Drosophila melanogaster: one gene and its partners. The protein of the gene in region 1 interacts with the protein of each later gene in a pairwise test. Each region holds a gene or a part of one and is shown in the gene's direction. Other genes may lie near its edges. The genes, in order: CG5111, CG31249, Awh and Fum2.

Evidence for each region.
Region 2: the proteins of CG5111 (region 1) and CG31249 interact in a two-hybrid assay, tested with the Drosophila melanogaster proteins (one large-scale study listed by BioGRID).
Region 3: the proteins of CG5111 (region 1) and Awh interact in a two-hybrid assay, tested with the Drosophila melanogaster proteins (one large-scale study listed by BioGRID).
Region 4: the proteins of CG5111 (region 1) and Fum2 interact in a two-hybrid assay, tested with the Drosophila melanogaster proteins (one large-scale study listed by BioGRID).

The regions. Positions count from the first base shown.
Region 1 is NT_033777.3:25,504,489-25,508,891, forward strand, and holds CG5111 (uncharacterized protein), read left to right. Parts: upstream 1-1,786; 5' UTR 1,787-1,875; coding exon 1,876-3,720; 3' UTR 3,721-3,791; downstream 3,792-4,403. Other genes in the region: CG5107 (uncharacterized protein), read left to right, coding at 729-791, 852-1,430.
Region 2 is NT_033777.3:17,685,164-17,689,169, reverse strand, and holds CG31249 (uncharacterized protein), read left to right. Parts: upstream 1-2,098; 5' UTR 2,099-2,204; coding exon 2,205-2,274; intron 2,275-2,332; coding exon 2,333-2,659; intron 2,660-2,808; coding exon 2,809-3,164; 3' UTR 3,165-3,481; downstream 3,482-4,006. Other genes in the region: CG31360 (uncharacterized protein), read right to left, coding at 3,639-3,757, 3,820-3,997.
Region 3 is NT_037436.4:3,844,310-3,849,213, forward strand, and holds the start of Awh (arrowhead), read left to right. Parts: upstream 1-1,896; 5' UTR 1,897-2,432; coding exon 2,433-2,438; intron 2,439-4,904. UniProt on the Drosophila melanogaster protein: Probable transcription factor. Required for the establishment of a subset of imaginal tissues: the abdominal histoblasts and the salivary gland imaginal rings.
Region 4 is NC_004354.4:6,679,784-6,684,376, forward strand, and holds Fum2 (fumarase 2), read left to right. Parts: upstream 1-1,983; 5' UTR 1,984-2,052; coding exon 2,053-2,130; intron 2,131-2,186; coding exon 2,187-2,351; intron 2,352-2,435; coding exon 2,436-2,639; intron 2,640-2,722; coding exon 2,723-3,527; intron 3,528-3,587; coding exon 3,588-3,847; 3' UTR 3,848-3,913; downstream 3,914-4,593. Other genes in the region: Fum1 (fumarase 1), read left to right, coding at 43-174, 515-715, 785-1,589, 1,654-1,916.

The DNA.
Region 1 (4,403 bases):
AGCCACACTTGCTGTTGTCGCGGGTAGCCGGAAACTTTCTTTTGTATGTTGGAAATGTCTTGGACCTGGTGGCAGTGTCTTATTTTCCACACACCCCTAGTGGGAGTTATTAACCCTTAACCACACGTTACCATTTATAACCCGAACAAAGTGAACCGAGCGCGTTAAGCTGACAATGGCAACAAATTTTTTTCCTTTTGCCGTCTATTGTGCCCGGAAAATCTGGTGGCAGCCACCATTCAATTGTGGTTCTTTTCCTCTTTGTCTGCGGTTTATGGCTTTTAATTCGTTCTGAGCCTCGATTCTTAAGGGTGCCCAAGTGAATTTCGCACTGACATCAACGGATATTGTGTGATAATTGCCACAAGAAAAATATTCGACATTTTTAGAGCGTACATTTCGTTTGCATTTAAATGGGAAAATTAATTAATCATTTCAGATTTGTATTCATTTAAAACACTTCAATTGAGCAATATGAAAATTAACCGATCGAAAATGTATATTTTAAGTATCTTAAGTGGCTGATAAGTGCTGATAGATAGATACATATAAGTACTTTTGAGGTAGGTAGATTGATTACACATTTCTAGATGATAGCCGTATAAAAAAAAGGTATTAGATAGTTGGAGTGGGCAATTCGATTAATTTCTGATAAGACGTAGTTTTCAGCGGGTATATAAACTGATCTTCACTACTGGCCGAGAAAATATTATTAATTGGACAGTAAAATGAAAGCCATCACCGTTTGCCTTTTGGTTCTGGTTTCGGCCACCTGTCTGCTGACCACGCGGGTAAGATTTGCCAATTAAAAAAAAATTAACTTAAATATAATAAATATTTCTTTGTTTCAGGCCAATGCAATAGAATTGCTGGAGAACGAGAACTTCGACTATGATTTCGACTTTGAATCGGAATTGGAGCAGTTGCTGGATGAACTGGACAATGACACTGACTACATGGATGTGGAGGCACAGGGCTTTATTAGAACATGCCTTAAAATCCTTCGCAAGGCATTGAAAACGGTTCGAGGCACCAACTGTATTATCAAGGAGGTGACAAACATCCTTAGTTCATGCACCAGCTATGTGGATGCTATTGATGCCTGTGGCACTGCCATTCCCAAGGATGTGGCCAAGATTGTGGACTCCGTTAAGGAGATTATCAAAATCTGCGACGATATTTTGCATCTGCATTCGAAACTTTGTGCCACGGATAAGTCCGTGGGCTCGTCCATCAAAAACTCGGCCAAATGCTTCTGGAAATTGTTCAAGGCATCCATGAGGCTGACCCGAAAGATCAATAAAACCCTAAAACTGATTGCCAAATTGCCAGCCGATACCAGTTCCTGCTTCGTAAATGCCACCAATAAAGTTACAGCGTCCTTTAACTCTTTTCTGCCCAACATTGATGTCTGCATCGAGTCTATGTAAATATATTATTATTAAAAAATAAAAAACTCTTAAGCTTACAGCAGATTAGATTTCAATTCTCGAGCCTTTGTTCCCAACAACCTATGAACAATAATATAGTGATTTGATTGAAAATAAATTTTGTTTCATTATGATAAGATAACTTCAATTTCCAACTATGAGCCGAACTGAAGCGATTCGATTAAGATTCGTTAATAAATACAATCGGTATCTAGAGAGGGTTCTTGAACAGCTTTATACTGATATGGAAAATTAATTGTAATTAATTATAAATTGCAATTAAAGGGATTTAACTTACGTCTCTGAATTTATAATAATTTAGCATTTTTTAGCATTTAGCAAAAACAGATGTTAAGGTAACACTGAAAGAGCACTGTCAGAGTTGAAAATGTTCGTCATAAATTTAGAAATTATTTAGTTCGATTCGGGCACGACAGCACGAAACATGTCCCAGATAAACAATATATTCATTAAGCTGCGAGCTCGTCTGCGGGAGCGTGATATCAAGTTGTGGGAGGAGCCGTACTACTTCGAGGAGGTGGGCAGCATCGAGTCGGAGATGGACCGCCTGGCCAGGGACATCAGTGGCGAACTGGGCATCAGTGTGTCGGACTGCAGAATTGCCTTGGGCGAATTGCAAGATGGTGCCTTGCGGAAGCTGGCGGCTCGCCGAGAGTTCAATGACACCGGATTGGCCACGTTCAATGTGCGGTGTGTGGACAGCAAGGGTGGCACCGTGCAAATGCTGGAGATCAAGTGTTCGCTGGGTGGACTGGGCTCGGATCTGCAAGCTGAGGTGGCCAAGAAGTTGGATATCGTTGATTCCAGTCATGTGAAATGCATCTCCGGAGGACGCATCATCAATGGGCAGAAGACACTGGCCTCGCAGGGGCTCAAAACCAATCAGCACCTCATGGTGGTTGTGGGTGGAACTAATGAAGGTCAGGAGTTGCACGAACGTATCCAAAGGATTCGTGCGGACTTGGAGTTAGTTGCGGATGCAGATCGCTTTATGGAAATGGAGGATCAGGATGGACGTCCAATTTTCTTGCCACGCGAGGAAAATCGATCCCTATTGATGGCCATGAGCATGTACGAAGTGGCCAGAGTTGCCATGCATAAGGAGAACTTCGATGAGGCTCTACTCATCCTACTCGAGGCCGATGAACTCTTCTCCCAATGTGACTCAAAGCTCCTGGAAGGAGTGGATAACTATGCCTTAATCAATCTAGATATTGTTTGGTGCTATCTGCGCCTGAAGAACATCACCCAACTGCCAGATGCACAGCGACGTTTGGATATTTGCGAGAGGGGCTTTGTCAAGAGCTATGGCGAGCAGTTCATTCGATTGTTCTCGATTAAGGGTCCAAGTAGCCCGGAAAGAGCTTTGATCATGAGACTGCACCTGCTCCAAGGTGTGCTCCTCTTTCACCAAAATCGCCGGGATGAGGCCTACGAAAAACTGGAGGTGGCGACAAAGGACTTGTATGAGGTCAAGATGAATGACACTGAGCTAAGCACTCTCGTTGAAATGGGCTATGAGGAATCGGATGCCAGGTTGGCCTTGAGATCCTGTGCGGGCCAAGTGGATAGGGCCATTCAATATATCCAGGAACGCAGCGAGAGAATCAGTGAGGAGCGAAAGAACTCGGCTGCCGAGAGGCAAGTCAACCAAGAGATGATTTTCGCCGGTCAAGGAGGAGAATGGGTCAATCCACGCAGCATTATTAGGCTCATGGAAATGGGCTACGAAAGGCGTTTGGTTGTGGAGGCTCTGAAGAGGACCAAAAATAATCTCGATCGCAGTTTGGATCTACTGCAGCGTCATTCAGATGAACTTAGGGCCAATCTGCCGCCCATTCCTCCTGTCGATGAATCGTTACTTACTACTCTACAGCACCTTGGATTTTCGGAGATTTCCGCTCGAGATGCTTTGGAAACTACGGGCAACAGTTTCCATAAATCTCTGAAATTTCTATTGAAAAGTTTCCCCAACGAATCGGAATTACTTCATGTTATTGAAACCATGACAAAAGTTTTGGAGGTTCAAGAACCTACGAGCTCAACTAATGCGACTGCAAATAGCACCACCCCACTCGTAAACTTATCCAACAGCAAGGTGAACTTGCTCCAGACTGTCCTTAGCGAGGCCAAGTCGGAGATTGAGTCTTACAATGCCTTCAAGAGATTCAACGAGAACCTCGCCGAGAACAACAACCACTACTTAAACTTGCCCTTGGATCAGGAGGAGCAAATTCTGATCGAGTATAAACGTTTGCTCGAGGGCTAATAAGAAAAAAATAAGATTTTTTTTAAATATTTGTAAATCAAAAAACAGGCAATAAATAAGTACGTACAAATATTTATTGTTGCTTTGTTATATTTTTAACATCTTTTCTCACCATGTTACCATTTCATTTCACAGCCATTCCACTATAGTCTGAATGGTACCTTTTTGTGGCCAAAATTAATAACATAACAGCTAGTCAATTAAATAAAAAAAAAATAAAAAAAATCCAGCTTATAGTGCGTCCCTTCAAAAACTCAAATACTTATTGCCCAGCAAAGTATGCTATGCATTTTGGTTGCTGATGTGGCTGCTGCTATTTGCTCACTCATGTGCATAACGTCACAGTTTTTCACAATTTTGTGTATGTGTGTGTGTGCGCGTGCTCTTTGCGTGTGGCTGACTTTGTGAAAATTAATAAGTTTTCAGACCCTCTCGCCAATCTGCCAATGCCATGCGAAAGTTCTGCAGATGATGGCCAAATAATTTGTCGTCCTGTTTTGTGGCGTTATTTCCAAATCGTTAAACCTAAAATAAACTCCGCTCAGCTTATTTCACTCTTCCATTTCTTTCTTCATTTCGTGTTTTTTTTTTTTCGGTTTACGTTGATTTATTATATATGCGAAATGGCGCACACATTTTGAGTGGCTGACATTTTCACTTGACTGCGATTTCCTTCGCTTCTT
Region 2 (4,006 bases), 7.8 Mb from region 1:
CGTATATTAAATATATATATAAATAAATGCATAAACTAACATTAAATTACATGAGAATGAATTGTGTATGTAAAAGGGATGAATGCATACATACGTACATCTAGACATTGATATATAAATACATAGAGGATAGTTTTTAAATTCTACCACTTACTAATACCTACATATTACCACAATGTGCAGCATAGGAACTCATAAACTGATCGAACTGAACGAACACCAAAGTTCACGCGGAAATATTTAAAAGCAACACGTATATAAGGCAGTTTATTGGATTCAATGTGGTCTAAATGTTGCAGAAGGACGAATCCTTAGAGATGACTAAAAACCATTGTACATACTTAACTATTATGTAAATTTCACTGTATTTTTGTTTTTACGCAATGTTACAAGGCACATGTAAGTGGCAGCACTGCATTTTGTATTATGTTTATGTGTATGATGTTGTATGATGTATTGATGGGCTGCGAAAATTCCAACTTCTTAGTTTTAATCGCATAACTCGGAGGCGAATGGAAATGAAATTAAGCGAGAGAAACAAGCAAACAAGCAAAAATGAAAAACCCTCAGATGAAGGCAAGCAAACAATTTAAATTGAAATCAAATTAGGTGATATAATATATAAAAATACATAACATATACATACATAATTAATATAAACGAAACATGAAAAATCGAAAAAATGAAACCCTAATGCTGTAATCTTATGTTAACTGTATTATTTGCTGGAAGTGCTGCTGCTTCGTTTTATTTTATATCGAACTTACTTAAGGCGTAAATGACAAGATAAATAATTAGGTTTTTATCTTAATCTTAATTTAAAATGCAAAACAAATAAAACCAAGAAAACAAAGCAAAACAAAACGAAACCATAAAATGCTATAAAACACAAAGCGAAGCAAATCGAACTAAAGCTGTAGAGAAGCACGCAAAAAGGACTAATAACCACACATCCACACCCACACCCAAAATGCTTGGCGTTAGGAAACCAATAAACAATTAATGCAAAACCATACATGGGTGGGTGCACCAATTTGTATACTAAACTTTCTCACACATAATTAACGTGCTACATAAGAGATCGAAAATGAAATGTCTCCAGATTCTGGCATGAGCAAGTCTAGAGGTCCTTCCGGTTTCCGGTGGCGATCCTCTGGATCCAGAGGAACTGCAAGATATTGGGAGATAATAGGAAACTGCTGCTGTTGATACGTGTATTCGTGTAGTTGTTTGCAAACAAATATTATAACTCAGCATCTCGATATATAACGTGTAGTTATTAGTCTATAATTTGCTAGGATGTAAATGTATGTCCCTCAAACTTAATTTAATTATTTAATTAATATACATACATATATGATATACAATACAGCCTTTGTACTTGTCGTTTCTTATCGCTGATAAGGGAAAAATATTTTTTGGCGGGGAAATACTTTTTAGAACTCATTTCGATTTTTTCAGTGCAAATCAATTGGTCAGATTGATGAATCCTATGGTAACGCATTCCCAAAATATTTCTTATTATATTATTATAAACTATATTGCTTCTGTTCAGCGTAGGACATTCACTGTTGAGCGAAAGATTATTATATAAATGTATATTCGAGATAATATGCAATTGAGCACCTAAATACCATGTCTAGGTTTTCAAAAATGTCTAGTAACAAGATCTTTTGTCTGTTATTAGGCTGTACTTTCAGCATTGAGGTCGATGTTACTCGATTGGGAATTTGTGCATTGTATTTACAATGTCAATTTGTTCAAATTTACAATTTCAAAAATCAATTTTAAAAGAACTTACATTAATATTAAGAATTCGCGTGTTCCGGGATAAATTTGACTTTTTTAATTAATTGACAATTTTAATCGGTCAATGAAGAGCTTTAAAATTGTATTAATAGTTCTTCAATTAATTGAATAATATGATGTGCAAAAAAATAATTATCGGAAAAAATACTTTTTGACAGTAAGTAGTTTCTTACAAAATATTTGATTTAAAAATTATATATCGATACTTTTTCGAGATTATTAAATTCGAACAGCTTTATCACAGCAAGTTGGCAGCCCAATTTCTACGTCGATAAGTCCTCTCGTTTAATGTTCCATCCCTTAAATTTGGGCGATAAGAATAAGCACAGCCGGCTGTAACATTTTTTGTAAATTAACAGAGCGAATCGATTTTTGTATAGTAATCCGTTGAAAGCATGCTGTCGCTCAAGATGAAACTCGAGGTACTGGGTCGTCCCGATGTTGACATCCCGGTGGTGATGAGCGGTAATTGTCTAGTTTTCCTGATGGGGCTATAAGTCATCCCATTCTTTTCGTTCCGCAGACCGCAAGGAATTCGCCAACACAGTCCTCTGGTTGGAGGACCAGAAGATCCGGCTTTACTCCATAGAGGATCGCTGTAAGCTGCGCACTGTCGACAACCCTGAGATCTGGAAGGAGGGTTACTTAAAGTACTGTGCCGATTTGAGCATGCCGCCCCTGGAGACGCGGCAGGAGCAGCTGGCCTGGATTGTCAGCTATGCTGTGCGCCTGGACTTCCTCGATGATCCTGATCAGTTTGCCTCGATTAACACCAAACAGGTGCCACCCCAAAGCAATGGCAAGCAGTCCCAACAAAGGGTCCAGGCTATTTTCGATGGAAATATTAATAGTATGGTCTGATTTTAACTAAATTTACCATTTAAGGAACTTTAAATTTATATATTATGGATTTTTTAAGAGGTTCCAAAAACCACTTTTATTATCTATAGATGATAATCAGGTAAAGTACAACAAGTATTAATTCTTTCTTCCCACCAGCTCAGGAAAAAGCGTTCGTGGATGGAGTCCGGCTGCTGGCCAGCAAACTGAATGTGCCGCACCACCCGAACCATCTGTTGCAGCTGGAGGCTATCGCTCGCGTGGTGCACGAACGCCTCTCGCCCGCCGCCAAGGATCGCAAGCCGGTAGTGGGTAAACCCTTCCCTTTTGACAAGGGAAACGACGTCGTCTCGTCCAACGACTCTGCCCTGGACCTGCCCATGCGCATACTACGTCTTCTCCAGATCCAGAGCCTACGCGAGCTGCAGACACACATCAATGAGACCATTGTGGCGGTGCAGAACATCACGGCCAATCCAAAGACTGATACCAAGCTGGGGAAAGTGGGATTCTAGACGATTAACAGTAAAGGAACGCAATCGACACAATATAACATAAAAGGACATAAAGAACATAAAAGTTTTAAAATTGCATCTATAAAATATCCTTTAAAGCCAAGCAACAACATTTAGCAGAAATCAATAGATAGATCAACAGCCAAGCTATGAACAAGCAAACACCTTTTTTGAAAGCTATAAAATAAGAATCCTGTTGATATTTTATAATATTATTATTAATACAAACATATGTTTATTTATGATCCTCTTTCAAAAGATGCAATATTGTGTATGCCTATGTAATTAATTTATTTAAAATAAATCATAAATTCATTAAAGCAAACAAGGTTTTGTTTTCAACGATTTTAAATAGAAAAAATTCTAAAAACAAGGTTACAGCTATATTATTGTAATGCCACATGGTCGTACAAAAGAAAACATTAACCTTTATATATTAAGTGACTCTACGATTATAATTAAAACGTCATTGAATTAACGTCTAGAAAAGAACTGATGATCAGTGCTAGTATTTTCCTGTTCTTTTGGCTTCTCGGCGGTTGCCTTCAGGAAATTCGCGTCTGCCAGGCGGGCCACGCCCAGAACTCCAACGGCTATGGCGACGAAGGAGAAAGGAGTAAACATAAGACCGGATTTAAGATCCCAAGTGGCTCACCTGCAGCCAAGCCTTTCATAGTGAAATTCTCCAGAGGTTTCGCTTGTCTTTTTTTCGACTGTGCCAATAGGAAGGCACCAATTCCCAGGAGTCCAAGGCCACTGACCAGACGGCAGGCCAAGCAGTCCACCTCGTTGGAAACGTTGTCCTTGTTCCAAAAAGAAAGTCTACCGATCATTTTTAAAAT
Region 3 (4,904 bases), on another chromosome or scaffold:
CGGAAAATTCAGCGTGAGGGGGAAATGGGGGTGTGAAATTACACTTGAAAAAATATGACCAACTTGCTGACGAAATGGAAATTAAACAACAAATGACAATACCCTAAAGCAGTTTGCAGGTTTTATGACAGATATTTCTATAAATGGTTAACTTTAAGCTTGAAGCTTTTATTTAAGTATAGAACAGTTTAAAGATATATTAATTTTTTTCCAGTGCAGTGACAGGAGAACGAGAGCCAGCAGGCAGCAGCATTTAATCCTGCAAAAAAGGCATTGCGAGGCACCATAAAATGATGTTAATCCTTAAATAACGTGAGCAAAGCAAAAAGCGGAGAAAAAGTGGTAAAAAAAACGGGGGCAGGCAGAAGGATTGGCGAAGGAGGAGGCGGTGGGGGCCACTCGACTGGATGATGGCGACAGCCAAATGCCAATTGAATGCCAAGCGGCTTTAAGAGACAGCCCACGATCAAAGAGACAGTGAATGAAAAATGGTGCAAAGTAATGGTTAAAGTGCTCGAAATGGAAATCCTCAAGGGGATCGGTGTTGCACATAAAGCTTAAACTCAGGCTTAAATCAAAGTATAAAGGGGACAAAGGAAACTGGAGTAACTTGAAGAGTTATTTAGCACCAAGGAATCATTAATAATAGTACTTTCTTTAAAAGTATTAATATAAAAGCAATATATTGTTATTGTTGTTATATTATTATTGTTAAAGCCATGCAATTTAATTTTATGTTAAATAAAATAAAATGTTTTTAACTTTAAACCTTTTTTTCTTTGAGTCAGTCTGCTGCGCTATCATGTTTGGCATGCCATCACAAACAGCCAACAGAAATAAAAAATATATAACCGAAAAGACAGCAGCATCCACTGGCATCAACTCACTTCCCCTCCATCAAGCGGTTTGACCCCAAAAAGTCAAGTGCGGCGGAGCTCGAGTTCCGTTTTCCCTCTCCCTTACTTCCTCCCTCGATATTCGGGTTTTCCTGGACTTTTACTCACTCAGGCAGCAAAAAAGTCAGCAGGAAAAGCAGAAATGACAGTAACATCAGTTGAAGTCACGGTGAAAATTATAGTAACAACAATATACTTACTTGAAAAAGCAAAAGTGGCAGTAACAACAGCAATATTATTGAAAGGCACAACAATTCAAGGAGAATCTTAAGTGGAAATATCCTGAGTAAAAGCAAAAGAGTTAGAAGCAACATCTGTTCCAGTAAACGCAGCAGCATGACAACTGTTACAACTGCAACAGGAGCAACATTGGTAGCTTTTCTAGGCAAAAGTAACCACAACAGTGAAATCTTTTCTAGGAAAAGCTGCTACAACAGATACTGCTTTATAAAGAACAAAAGATACAGTAACAGCAGCCACACGAGTCTCAAAAACAGCAGCAACAACATCGAAAGCACCAGCAATATGACAGAAATTCCTTCGAGTAACAGCCATATCAGTAGAAATGGCAACATCGTCACCAGAGCAACACCCACCCAATTCGCGGCACGATTTCACTCCGAGTTTCGACTCGATTCAAGTGGCCAAGTTGGCACGCGCCGGCGCACTCAATTGGTGCACAGGCGGCGCGGACTGGGAAAGCACTCAAAATGGGGGACACCACTGCGGAACTCGTTATGCGGGGCGCAAAGGGGCGTGGCCAGGCGGGCCAATCACCACCATTCCCGTTGCGCCGACGACAGATGTGCGCTCAAAAACCAGTTGAGCGAGTTCTCGAGTCGAGTTTCGAATGGGACTGACTGGTGGTTGTGGTTGTGCGTACGGCTGGTTCATCATCATACCTGTGGTGGTGGCGGGCATGCCATGAGCATATGGAAACCGGGCGTGAGCCGAGCCAGTTGAGCACCACCACCAGATCCCTGAGCTCGAACCCCGAGCGCCGGCAGTTAACGCAGTGGCCTCGAAGCTGTAACAACATCTCGCGTCCGCTCGATCCGCTCGATCCGCTCCGCTCCGTCACGAGAAAAGCGAGAAGCGCTCAGAGTATCTGCAGTGAAACGTGTTATCGTGATAAGGTTCTACGAGTATTCCATGCCATAAGGTGTCGCACATTATATTATTGAAATCGAAACGCAACATTCGCCGTCGGCTAAGAAAGTGAACTGTTATCGAATGTGCTAATCAAAAACAAAAAAAATGTTGCAAGCGCCTGCAAATTGATTTCTATCTCGGATATGCGAATTTACACTGGTTATTAATAGATCTGGTTTAAGAATACGATTATATAAGCATCCTATGCAGACGGCGGCTTCCGTGGGACGCTTGACAAACTGATCAAGTCGTCGTCTTTATCATCTATATCTCCTCATACTGGCTGCGATCGGGCTCGATATCGATTCCCAGGCTAAAGCTGGCGACAGATTTTCGAGCAAGATACTTGGATTAACAACCGCCAAAATTGTGGAGGCAATTAAAATGAAGGTGAGTCTCGATTGCTTTATAAAAAGATAGATTGAGTTGTAAAAAATCAACTTTATTGCTATTGGAAAGAGGAAAGTTATCAGTCTGTGTATTATAAATTTCTACATTTTTGAATAAAGTTAGTCTTTAATATTCTCTATTAAATTAGACTGTAAGTGTTGCATGTTCCACCCGTATTGCTCGGCGTTTGAGCGGTCTGTTTGCACACCCCCTCAAAATGAAGTTTCTGCTTTCCTTTTTAATTGCTGGACATAAAGTCCAGTAGACCCCGAGTGACCCACAAATCAGTTTTTTATGTAAAGTTTCCTAGCCCGCTGCGAGCATATTGGGCCAGAAAACGCAACAGGCGGCGTTTGCTCGACCATTGGGAGTAAAAAAAGAAGTGAGCCGGAGTTAAGACAAAAACCGGAGCAAAACAGTTTCAATTCAATTCGAAAAAGCCAGCACACTAATAGCGGCTGGAAAACGATGAGTTTTCAAAAATATGGAGACGACACAGGGCGGTGAATATGAAAAGCACACAAATCGCACAGTGGGGTTCCTCCCATCGAAAACACTCAGCGAATAAGCCACAGATCGCAGCCCACACTTTTGGGTATTACTCGAATATTGGCTGTGAAATGAAGGCTGATATTCGGATGTATCTGCAACCAAACCCCAAAAATCATATTCAACTTGGCCTTTTTTTTTTTTTGTTTTGTATCTTTTCAAGACATTGCATTGATCGTGTCGCCTAGATGATGTTGCTCAATCCCTTGTTCATTCAACAACACATATTTTTTGGTTTTTGAATTTCGAATTTGATTTTGACTTTGATTTTATTTCATACCCAGTCCGAAAACGTTTAATCGATTTTTACACCCGCTGTGCGACGGGCTTTTTTTGTTGTGTGTGTGAACCACCCACAGGATTTTCGAAAAATATTTGCCATGAGTCTGCAGAGAATCGATCATGATTTATGCTCGCCGATGATCGATTTACCATGGCTTTGTTCGACGAGCATAATTTTCATTACCATAGCAAATTGGACAAGGTGCTGACGCTTATTGCTCTGCGATATAATTTTAATCGCCCGATTTTATTTAGCTAGATTTCTATACGCACCACGGTCATAGGGGGAAAAATCAGATCAGCGGGGGATCCGCTTACAATTCGAAGTCCAGAACTCAAATGTCAACAGTTCTGAGGTGCCGTCGATGGTCAAGGGGCATGGGGGATTCTCGGCGAGAGACCTTTTCTTGACATCATCGATCTTGACCCGGCCCAGATGTTGGTGGATCCCCCCCCTTCCACATGTCGCCGCCCCGCTTTATCATCCAAATCCAAATCCGAAAATGACGCCACTAGGCGCTGCCTTATGAATATTCAACAAAGTATGGAGATGGAGTCTTTTTTTCCCTGCTCTTAGGTAGTCAGTCGGAGAAAGAGATATAAAAAAGGCATAAATATTTAAGCGCTTAAATGTCGAATGCCTGCGAAGCAGCTATAAAAAACGTATATACATATTTCAATAATCGATTTTTCATTAATAATTCACAAGAAAATTGAAAGATTGGAAAAAACTAAACCTCCCATAAATAGATACACCAAAAATGTTTTGTGTAAGAAGTCGTTGACGCCTCCATCTGCGGTTCGAAAAAGTTTTCTTTAATTGGCAATTGGGTATTTGAAGGCGAACTAAAAATACAGAGTGATTACAGAGATTTTAGGATTTGACTTTCTATATCTCCATCTACTTATTAGCTTTGAGTGTTTGACAAAACACCTTTTGAGGATTACACGCCTAACTCCATTGTCCCATAATCCCGCACAAGAAACCAAAAAAAGGAGCGCGTGCCGATGGCCAAGATTTTCCTACTTACCAAAAGGATGTTTTGCAAAACCAGCTGCCTGGCCAGCGGTCAGCAGATTTTTCAGCAAGCCCCCTAATAATTGGATTCCCAAACAAAGGACATTCTGAAGAGTGTCCTGTGACCACTGGTCGAAAATGCCTAATTGTCAACGCTGACAAGAAGTCTACGCCTCGGTTCTTGTCTCCTTGGGAAAACAATGGGCAAACGGAAAATGCATCTTGACTTGAGCCAATTGCCCCGATCAGGGACAAAGAGAAACAAATATCACACCTTTGTTTTGGGCCTCGAATCCATATATGTAGTATGTACATACCTATTGACAATAGATGCCAGAGTTCCTGGTCAGTTTTCAGTCGGGTTGCGCATGCGAATTGCAGGAAGAGATCGCTGGGTAGATGTGTCAAAATCGCAGCAGCATTTTTAGCAGGTAAATGCGAGAAGTCCTCTTCGAATGAACATCGAATGCAGGAGGCACAAGAGGTCCTCACAAAACCGCACAATGGAAGGCGAGTCGAGTGTCTTGCCATTGTTCGTTCGAGTGCATCCACAAAATAGTCCTTAAAGGACGCTTAGTTGGCCTACAAATGATGCATGGCCCTTGGGCCTGTAAAAT
Region 4 (4,593 bases), on another chromosome or scaffold:
GATAATTATAGCCATTCTTATCGGATTCATTCGCATCGACAGGCCTCCCAGGAGTTTCGCGTGGAGAGCGACACCTTTGGCGAACTGAAGGTGCCCGCGGATAAGTACTATGGCGCCCAAACGATGCGATCCCAGATCAATTTCCCCATCGGCGGAGCCACCGAACGGATGCCCGTAAGTAGTGCCCCCCACTGCCTCCATCTACGTATACATATAATTCTCACGTAAATCTTTCGAAAGTATTTAAAAGTCAGCATTGAAGGTTCAAAAAGCAGCAAGGTCTAGCTAATTACTAAGTAAAATATGGCTTAAATTAAGCTTCTATTACAGAAAGCAGAACAAATGGTGAATGCTAGTTCAATGAGTTTGTTCATTGTAATTCAGAGTCTATAGAAAGTTAAAGTCTAAAAAATGTATTAACTACATTAACATAACACACAAGTATGTTGCGTAAAGTAAAAAATAAGAAGAAAACACATTGAAAGCAACTAAAACTCTCGTTAATCCCCGCCAGAAACCCGTGGTCCAGGCCATGGGCATCCTGAAGAAGGCCGCCGCCGAGGTGAACAAGGAGTTCGGACTGGACAGCAAGGTTAGCGAGGCGATCTCGAAGGCGGCCGACGATGTGATCTCTGGCAAGCTATACGACGACCACTTCCCGCTGGTCATCTGGCAGACGGGCTCGGGCACGCAGAGCAACATGAATGTGAATGAGGTGGGCATGAGCGGTCATTTGTTTCATTTGCACTATTCTCAAATCTCCTCTAACTCTCTAACTCTCAAGGTGATCAGCAATCGTGCCATTGAGCTGCTGGGCGGCAAACTGGGCTCCAAGACGCCCGTGCATCCCAACGATCATGTGAACAAATCGCAGAGCTCCAACGATACCTTCCCCACCGCCATTCACATCTCGGTGGCGCTGGAGCTGAACAACAACCTTAAGCCGGCGATTAAGACGCTGCACGATGCGCTGCGTGCCAAGTCGGAGGAGTTCAAGGACATTATCAAGATCGGACGCACGCATACGATGGATGCGGTGCCATTGACGCTGGGCCAAGAGTTCAGCGGCTATGCCCAGCAATTGGCCTACGCCCAGGAGCGCATCGATGCCTGTCTGCCGCGCGTCTATGAGCTGGCTCTGGGCGGCACTGCTGTGGGTACGGGTCTGAACACACGCAAGGGATTCGCCGAGAAGTGCGCTGCAAAGATCGCCGAGCTGACCAGCCTGCCCTTCGTTACCGCGCCCAACAAGTTCGAGGCACTGGCTGCCCGCGATGCCATGGTGGAGGTGCATGGTGTGCTCAACACGATCGCCGTTAGCCTGATGAAGATTGCCAACGATATTCGTTTCCTTGGCTCCGGACCGCGTTGCGGTTTGGGTGAGCTCTCGCTACCGGAGAACGAGCCAGGTAGCTCCATCATGCCCGGCAAGGTGAATCCCACGCAATGCGAGTCGCTGACAATGCTCTCCGCCCAGGTGATGGGCAATCAGGTGGCGGTGACCATCGGTGGATCCAATGGGCACTTCGAGCTGAATGTATTCAAGCCCCTGATCGTGTCCAATGTGCTGCGCTCCATTCGGCTATTGTGTAAGCTACCTATTACCCACCCTTGGTGGAACGCCAAATCAATCGAATCTATTCCTTTTTGTAGCTGATGGCAGCAGGACCTTCACTGCCAACTGTGTGAATGGCATCCAGGCGAACCGCGAGAATATTGCCAAGATCATGAACGAGTCGCTCATGCTGGTGACCGCTCTGAATCCGCACATTGGTTACGACAAGGCTGCGAAAATTGCAAAGACGGCGCACAAGAATGGCACCACACTCAAGGAGGAGGCCATCAATTTGGGTTACCTGACGGAGCAGCAGTTCAACGACTGGGTGCGACCCGAACAGATGCTGGGACCCAAGTGAAGTGGAGCCAAGTAGGCCGACGACGAAATCCATCATTCAATCATCGCTGTCATCGGAATCGCAGTGTGATTTTCTAGATCAGATCGTTTTGTTGTATATGAATCGCTCGGAAACACAGAACCAATAATAATTGAAAATGCTGAAGCAAAACAATGGTCTGCATCTGGCTAGGCGCAATCTCTGGGTGGTTTGCAGTGGCCTCCGTGCCAAGGATGTAAGTACGCGACAATGGTCGCTGGCAACTCATGGCTACATGGGGCATCTTTGCAGTGCGACAGTGGCGGTAAGGGCGGCAAGGGCAAGGAGAATGGCAAGTTTCGTACGGAGAAGGACACCTTCGGGGAGCTAAAGGTGCCGGCGGACAAGCTGTACGGCGCACAGACGATGCGCTCCAAATTGAATTTTCCCATTGGCGACATAGGCGAACGTATGCCGGTAGGCAACCAACCAACCAACCAACATATTCTGGCATCTACCAAGTGCTTTGCCATAGCCAATTAATCCCCAAACTGCCCGCAGATGCCGGTGATCCAGGCCATGGGCATACTGAAGAAGGCATGTGCCGAGGTCAACAAGGATTACGGACTAGATGGCAAGGTGTCGGATGCCGTATCCTGCGCCTGCGACGATGTCATTTCCGGCAAGCTATACAAACAGGGTCACTTCCCATTGGTCATCTGGCAAACCGGTTCGGGCACCCAGACCAATATGAACACCAACGAGGTAAGATTGTTAGATAGGGCTAACGAGAGAAATGTGTATAGCTGGATGCTTCTCCTGCCCCATGCCATTGGCAAACCTACTAGGTGATCAGCAATGCGGCCATTAAGATGATGGGCGGCGAACTGGGCAGCAAGAAGCCGGTGCATCCCAACGATCATGTGAACAAGTCGCAGAGCTCCAACGACACCTTCCCCACGGCCATTCACATTTCGGTGGGCATGGAGCTGAACGAGCGGCTTGTTCCGGCGGTTACACACTTGAGGGATGCCCTCAAGTCCAAGTCGGATGAGTTCAAGGACATCATCAAGATCGGACGCACCCACTTGATGGACGCAGTTCCGCTGACTTTGGGCCAGGAATTCAGCGGTTATACACAGCAGTTGACCAACGGTCTGGAAAGGATCAAGGGCTGTCTGCCGCGCGTCTATGAGCTGGCTCTGGGCGGCACTGCTGTGGGTACGGGTCTGAACACACGCAAGGGATTCGCCGAGAAGGTGGCCAAGCGCATTTCGGAGCTAACCTGCTTGCCCTTCGTGTCGGCGCCCAACAAGTTCGAGGCACTGGCTGCCCGCGATGCCATGGTGGAGGTGCATGGTGTGCTCAACACGATCGCCGTCAGCCTGATGAAGATCGCCAACGATATCCGATTGCTGGGATCGGGTCCGCGTTGCGGTCTGGGCGAACTAATGCTGCCGGAGAACGAGCCCGGTAGCTCCATCATGCCCGGCAAGGTGAATCCCACGCAATGCGAATCAATGACCATGCTGTGTGCCCAGGTGATGGGCAATCAGGTGGCGGTGACCATCGGCGGCTCCAACGGGCACTTCGAGCTAAATGTATTCAAACCCCTGGTCGTGTCCAATGTGCTGCGCTCCATTCGCTTGTTGGGTGAGTCGGAAATGTGTTTTCCAAGTGGAAAAACATGCATACATAACCTTCTCCTCCCAGCTGATGGCAGCATGACCTTCAGCAAGAACTGCGTGGAGGGACTGCAGGCCAACAAGGAGAGGATCGACAAGATCATGAACGAGTCCTTGATGCTGGTGACCGCGCTGAATCCGCACATTGGCTATGACAAGGCCGCCCTGATCGCCAAGACGGCGCACAAGAATAAGACGACCTTGAAGGAGGAGGCACTGAAGACCGGAATTACCGAAGAGCAGTTCAAGGAGTGGGTCAATCCCAAGGAGATGCTGGGACCGAAGTGATTCGCTGTGCGGCTATTGACGATTTTGTTTTAGTTTCGTGTAATAAATTTTTGTGTGTAGCAGGATATTTCAATAGATTGTATTAATTTGTTGATTTTACGGCAGGTGAATAACGGTTTTTAGTTTTTGAATTCTCCAAATGATTCGAGTCCACACTACGCGATAGTCATTATCGATTCTAAAGATATACCGTAAGTGTGGTCACACTAACGCCTTGCTGTTTCTAAATTATTCCGTTGTTTTTATCGTAAATTCTTGCACACTTAGCTATTATTTTATAGCGAAATATAAGCAAAGCAAGCTTTTAAACAAGTGTTTATTGCGGCGCACATTTTCCGTGACAAATGAAAAGATCCAGCTGACCAGCGATTATCTAACGACCAAATCGAATCGAAACGAAACGTTGAAGTAGGCGCATTACATTAAAAATTGGCTGCCAGGCAAGTTGGAGGTCGTAAATTAATCGTTTTGTTCAGTTGAAAATAGCCCAAAATCAGTCTAGCCCACACAGATATCGAAAAAGGCGATATATCTTTGGATAATCATTGCAAAAATAAACCCTTTCGATTCGACGATTTCGCCTTGTAGTTCTGCCACCACCGCCCCCACACTTCGCCCCGCAGCTGCACCACAACCACCACCACCCACAAACAGAAAATTTATTTGCGACGCAAAAACAAAACAATCGAATCGAAACGAACCGAACCGAAACGAAACGACAGCAGCTGTTTGGTTATAAATCGGCG